Linked DNA regions of Callithrix jacchus. The protein of the gene in region 2 purifies or fractionates together with the protein of the main gene of each other region. This does not show direct contact. Links are inferred from orthologs where the notes say so. Each region holds a gene or a part of one and is shown on either strand. Other genes may lie near its edges.

Region 1 (3,820 bases), on a different chromosome or scaffold from region 2:
TAGATGTGCTCCACCAGGCCTGTCTAATTGTTTTTATATTTTTAGAGACAGAGTCTCACTATGTTTCCCTGGCTGATCTTTAACTCCTAGGGTCAAATGATCCTCCCACCTTGGCCTCCTAAAGCACTGCGATTACAGCCATGAGCCATATGCATAGCCAAGAGCTAGTTCTTAACAGTCCTCATAAAAGGATTACTGTGGTTTCAAACTCTTAAAATTCTTTTTTTTTGACTTAGGTTTATTCAAGGATATTAAAGTTATAAATGTAAAATTTCTACTAAGAATTTTAACATTCAAATATATTTGGATTTTCTTCTTCTTCTTTTTTTTTTTTTTTTTTGGTAGAGACAGGGTCTCACTATATTACCCAGGCTGGTCTTGAACTCCTGACCTCAAAGCCTTAGAATTACAAATGTGAGCCACTATGCCTGGCTGATTTCTATATAAGAATTCTTTATAGGAAAATACCAGTTTGCTTTGAATTTCTATAAGGAAGAAATGGCAAACTGAAAGAAATAATTGAAGTGGGTTTAATGAAGGGAGTATTTTTAAAAGGTTGAGGAAATTTTATGGGAATCAGTAAGGGATGATGGTACACCAGGGCTTTCACCACCTCCAGGCCTGAAGGGATCATAGAAGGGCTGTTACTGGAACCCAGCAAGAGGTATAGCCTTAAAAGAGGGGCTGTCCAACTTGATCTTTGGTAGAAGAGTATCCACTGCCAAGCTAGGGCCACTTAGGGGTCATGGTGGGAGTCAAGGAAATCAATATCCAAGCTTCTCTCCTACCATTTTCCCTTAGTCTTCTGCTGGTTCTTTTCCACTGGCTTCTCCATCCAGAGCCAGTAAATAAGAGAGTCTAGGTAATATAATCTGTAGCCATCAGGCTCTTGGGGCATGGGATGGGTTTGGTGGGACATAGACTTAGAAAGACAAATGGAGAATATCCAGCAGACCCATTACCGGGTCTGTGTGTTTTCTTCTTTACTTATATTGTTTTGGTTCTCATTTTCAGCTCCCACATGTCTTTGTGAATTGTGTTGAATGCTTTACCTTAAGGCTGCTTTTGGAACAAATTTTAAACAAATTGAATAATCTTAGTTCTTCAGAGGATGGATGTTCTTCCGAAATAACCTGTGAAACATTTAATGACTTTGTTCGCTTGTTTAAACAAGTAACCAAAGCTGAAAATCTCAAGGATCAGACCGTATATATTGTAAGTAATTTCATTTGATTAATTCATCTCTTATATGAAGATAATCATTTATTAGATCAGTTTTCATATATTTGAGTCCCATTATGCACAGTACTCTGTGCAAGGCACTTTTGGTGTGCAGAAATGTGTTAAACATATTCCTTGTCCAAGGGAAGCCTCATTTAATAGAAAAGGTATGACACATACAAATGACTACATGCAGAATGTGATAAGTGATTGTCACCAGATGCAAAGTATTAACTGTGTGTTTCCAGTATAACTTCATGAGGTATTAACATTTGAGGTAGACCTAAATGAATCCAAGTATTCTAGGAAGAAATTGAAGTAGAGGAATTTCAGATAGAATTATATAAGTAAGGTCATGAAGGTGAGAATGGAGGCCAGAGAGTGCCAAATAGTCTAGTTATAGTGGGTTATAAAGTATGAAGAGAGAAAAAGAAGACTGGAAGGTAGATTGAGGCAAATCATAGAAGGTATAGAAAACTATACTGAAGTACTTTATTCAATTTCTTAGGGAGTGAAAGAAGGTAGTAAAGAGTTTAGAGCAACAAATATGCCTGATTATTCTGAAGACATGTTAAAATGATCGTCTTTGGAATTAGATAAGAACTGCCCGAGAATGGATGATTTATAAAGGAAAAAAGTTAATTGACCTACAGTTCAGAATGACTGGAGAGGCCTCAGGAAACTTACAATCATGGCAGAAGGCAAAGGGGAGGCAAAGCACCTGCTTCACAAAGCAGGAGGAAGGAAAAGCTCCTTAGAAAATCATCAGATCTAATGAGAACTCACTATCACAAGAACAGCATGGGGGAACTGCCCCATGATACATTAACCTCCACTTGGTCTCTTCCTTGACAAGTGGGAATTATGGGGATTATGGAGATTGTGGAAATTACAATTTAAGATGAGATTTGAATTGGGACACAAAGCCTAACCACGTAATTCCACCCTTGTCCCTCCCAAATCTCATGCCCGTTTCACATTTCAAAACCCATCATGCTTTTTCGGTAGTCCGCCAGTCTTAACTTATTCCAGCATTAGCCCAAAAGTCCAATTCCAGAGTCTTAATCTGAGGTAAGGCAAGTCCCTTCCACCTATGAGCCTGTAACATCAAAAGCAAATTACTTAATTCCTTGATAATATGGGGATATAGGCAATGGGTAAATTCAGCCTTTTCAAATGGGAGAAATTGACCAAAACAGAGGGGCTGTAGGCCCCATGAAAGTCTGAAATCCAGTAGGGCAGCCATTAAACTTCAAAGTTCCAAAATGATCTCTTTTAACTCTATGCCTCTCATCCAGGGCATGCCGATGCAAGAGTGGGTTCCTATGGCCTCGTGCAGCTCCATCCCTGTGGTTTTGCAGGGTACAGTACCCTCCTCACAGGCTCAGGTTGAATACCTCTGGTTTTTCCATGCATACCGTACAAGCTGTTGGATCTACCATTCTGGGATCTGGAGGATGGTGGCCCTCTTCTCATAGCTCCACTAGGCAATATCCCAGTGGGGAACCCTGTGTAGGGGGTCCAACCCCACTTTTCCCTTCTGCACTGCCCTAGCAGAAGTTCTCCATGAGGGCCCTGCCCCTACAGCCAACTTTTGCCTGGACATCCAGGCGTTTCCATACATCCTCTCAAATGTAGGCATAGGTTCCCAAACATTAGTTGATTTCTATGCTCCTGCAGGACCACCACATGTAAGCCACCAAGGCTTAGGGCTTGCACCCTTTGAAGCAACAGCCTGAGCTATACAATGGCCCCTTTTATCCATGAGTGGGGATGTAGGACACCAAGTTCTGAGACTGCGCAAAGCACCTAGGCCCTGGCCTATGAAACCATTTTTTCCTCCTAGGCCTCTGGGCCTGTGATGGGGTGGGCTGCCTTATGAGGATCTCTACATACCTTGGAGACATTTTCCCTATTTTCTTGGCTGTTAATATTTGGCGGCTCCTCGTTACTTATGCATATTTCTGCAGCTGGCTTGAATTTCTCCCCAGAAAATGGGTTTTTCTTTTCTAACTCATGGTCCGACCACAAATTTTCTAAAGTTTTCTGCTCTGCTTCACTTTAAAATATGTTACAGTTTCAGATAATCTCTTTGTGAATGCGTATGACTGAATGCTCTCAGAATCAGCCAGATCACCTCTTGAATGCTTTGCTGCTTAGAAATTTCTTCCACTAGATACCCTAAATCATCTTTTTCAAGTTCAAAGTTTCACAGATCAATAGGGCAGAGGCAAAATGCCACCCTTCTCTTTGCTAAAGCATACCAAGAGTCACTTGATTCCCTGTTCCCAAGAAGTTTCTCATCTCCATCTGAGACCACCTCAGGCAGGACTTCATTGTCCATATCACTGTCAGCATTTTGGTCATGGTCATTCAACAAGTCTCTGGGAAGTTCCAAACTTCCCCATGTCTTCCTGTCTTCTGAGCCCTCCAAACTCTTCCAACCTCTGCCTGTTACCCAGTTCCAAAGTCACTTTCACATTTTCCACTCTTTATAGCAGTACCCAACTACCTTGGTACCAATTTACTGTATTAGCCCATTTTCATACTGCTATAAAGAACTTGCCAAAACTGGGTAATTTATAAAGGAAAGAAGTTT
Region 2 (2,800 bases):
GTTGGCAAGGTCTGGTCCTTCCAGGCCTCTTTCTGGGAGGCAGCTCACCCCAGGGTAGGGCCATGCCTGTTAACAGCAGGGCACCTGGGAGTCTAGAGGGGAAAGAGCCACAGCTTGGGGGTTTTCAGTGGGGGGGGGGGGGGGGGGTCTGCTCACCAGGAGGCCTCTGTGGTGCCTGAGACCAGGCTAGGCCAGCTGGGAGGGCCGTTGGCTGCCCCACTGTCCTGGGGAGTGTGGCCCATGGTTGCCCTCCAGGAAGGCCCTGGTCCTGGGATGCTGGGCTTGTGTTTCCAACCTCCTTGCCCCAGCTGTTCCAGCTCAGTCTCCGCCTTCTTCCTCTCTCCCAGGTGGCCATCAAAGACAAGCAGGAAGGAATTGAATAGTGGCCGCAAGGGGCTCTGCTCAGCCTGTGAGCCCAGCTCCTACCTGCGCCTGACCCTCCACCGAGAACGGCCAGTCTCAGCCATGGCCCACCTTGCAATGCCCCCTCACCCCAACACCAGCGTGTCCTGTACAGATCCTCTGTTATATTCCTAATAAAGTAAAGTATGGCAGGACAAGACCTGGATGTGGACTTCAGCAGCAGCAGCTTCACAGGCACAGATTGTCAGGCTTGATGCAGGCAGATGACGTGTTTCAGGGGCCTCCGGTTGGTAGGGACAAACTCATTCTGGACCAAAGCTCAGGAGCTGCCAGGGAGGCAGTGCTGAGCTGGGGGAAGTGTGCAAGCCCATGAGCTCCCATGAGTCTCTGCTCTAGAAGCCTCAGCTGCCGGGCCAGCCTGTCAGTCAAAGTAGGAACACCTTTCCACAGGCTTCTCGACCACAGAGTTTAATAAAAATACTGATAGGGACACCCCCCTACCCCTATCACCCCAGAGCTGAATAAGTTAGCTGTGTCCCTGGTCCTTTGCGACGCGTGAGGCTACAGCCTCCCCCAGATGGCTACGATGTTGGAGTCTGTCAGGGCGGTGAGGTAGGTGAAGGTGGCATTGGCCACCACCGTGTTCACCATGGTCTTGGTCACTGCCTGGCCAAGGGCCCAGGGCTGGGGCCACTTCAGGATCTGGTGGGGAGAGAGGAGGGCTGGGATCCTGCTGCCCAAAGGCAGGGCCCCTGACCCCTTGCAGCCCGAGCCCAGGCAGAATGAGCCGGGAGGTACCTGTGTGGGGGCCTGTGGGGCTGCCGGCAGTGGGGGCGGCTGTTTCAGGATGTCGCTGACATCGTAGAGCCACACGTTGCCCTCTTCATCCCCGCAGAGCACGATCCCCTTATCTGTCAGAACAGAGGTGGAGCCTGAGTGGGGGCAGAGCTCCCAGAGGCCCTGCGGGGATGGGGTAGGCACACGGGCAGAGGGCAGGCTCACCAGGACAGGTGCTGAGCGAGAAGTAGGCCAACTCGGTGGGCGACCACTGTAGCTGCGCCAGGACTACCACTGCCACCGTGGACTGGCTGCCCCGGCCACCCCATGTCTGCCTCCAGCTCCACAGGCAGATGGTGCCCAGGCCGCTGCCCTTGGAGGCTGTGGGGGAGAATTGAGAACTGTGCAGGGCGGCCCCTCCCGGATACCTGCTCCCTCTGGAGACCCTCAGAAGCCCAGCCAGAGACAAGCGACCCATCTGCATGCCCAGAGGCCAGGCTGTCCCTGAGCCGGGCTCACTCACCCACGACGTCCTCATTCACAAATGCTAGCCCATCCACTCTCCGTCCAGAAGCCTCAGAGCCCTCGGAGAAAATGAATTCTACTTCACACACTCTGTGGACAGCAGGAGACACTGGTCAGCCATTCCTTGCAGATACAGAGAGCTGCCCACTCACCCGGGCATCTACAGGGCACCTGCTGGGGGCCCCGACCTGCATGAAGGCCGCACACAAGTTGCTACTAAAGAGACATTCTTGGCTCCAGGATGGTTCAGTTTGCCCTGGGAGGGGGAGCCAGCACCTGAGTGTCCCAAGTCACAGTAGTGACCCAGAGGCTTGAAGGGTGCTTCTTTCAGGACAGGGCTAGGCGAGGTGGTCAGAAAAGGCTCTGGAGCGAGCCAGTGCCTCTGGGACCAAGAGTGAGATGAGCAGGGGCCTGGCCGTCCTGGCAGCCAAATAGGCCAGGTGTTTCCAGGCCATAGCCCAGGGGACTGTCGGGGGCATCTGCTCTGACTCTAAAGACACTGGGGAGGACGGGTGCAGTGGCTCAGGCCTGTAACCCAGCACTTTGGGAGGCCAAGGCAGGCGGATCACCAGGTAGAGTTTGAGACCAGCATGGCCAACACAGCAAAACCCCGTCTCCACTAAAAATACAAAAATTAGCTGAGCTTACTGGCAGGTGCCTGTAATCCCAGCTACTCGAGAGGCTGAGGCAGGAGAATCACTTGAACCCTGGAGGCAGAGGTTGCAGTGAGCTGAGATTGTCACTGAACTCCAGCCTGGACAACAGAGACTGTCTCAAAAAATAAAAATCCAAATCTCACTGTGGCTGAGGAAGCCCCAAGCCCAGCATGCACTGCCTAGGCATCCTTGCCACCTCGCTCTGGGCTCTGTCCACCCAGCTGTGGCCACAGGGCAAGCCGGCTCCCCCACCACTGACCTTTGCACATAGCGTTTCCTCCCTCCACCTGCTGAGTGCCTCGCCAGGCTCCCAGAGAGGAAGGCGTGAGCCCCAGAACCTATTCATCCGCTGCTGGTCCCCTCAGCAGAGTCCCCTGAGGCCCCCATGCTGGTGTCCATTACTTTTTTCCCCTGTCCTTCAGAGTTGGCATCACACGGCAGGGTTTTGATTGGCCGCCTTTGCTTAGCGTCTGGAGGCT

What was found.
Region 1: the proteins of LRWD1 (region 2) and ORC5 purify together in Homo sapiens (affinity purification with mass spectrometry; 4 studies listed by BioGRID and IntAct, with this or other methods). This does not show direct contact. The link is inferred for Callithrix jacchus from reciprocal best matches to the Homo sapiens genes LRWD1 and ORC5.

What each region holds. Positions count from the first base shown.
Region 1 is NC_133512.1:74,525,555-74,529,374, reverse strand, and holds part of ORC5 (origin recognition complex subunit 5), read left to right. Parts: intron 1-1,014; coding exon 1,015-1,215; intron 1,216-3,820. UniProt on the Homo sapiens protein: Component of the origin recognition complex (ORC) that binds origins of replication. DNA-binding is ATP-dependent. The specific DNA sequences that define origins of replication have not been identified yet.
Region 2 is NC_133503.1:11,378,365-11,381,164, forward strand, and holds the end of LRWD1 (leucine-rich repeat and WD repeat-containing protein 1), read right to left. Parts: intron 1,756-2,800; coding exon 1,664-1,755; intron 1,522-1,663; coding exon 1,366-1,521; intron 1,275-1,365; coding exon 1,162-1,274; intron 1,066-1,161; coding exon 925-1,065; 3' UTR 816-924; downstream 1-815. Other genes in the region: POLR2J (DNA-directed RNA polymerase II subunit RPB11-a), read left to right, coding at 348-383. UniProt on the Homo sapiens protein: Required for G1/S transition. Recruits and stabilizes the origin recognition complex (ORC) onto chromatin during G1 to establish pre-replication complex (preRC) and to heterochromatic sites in post-replicated cells.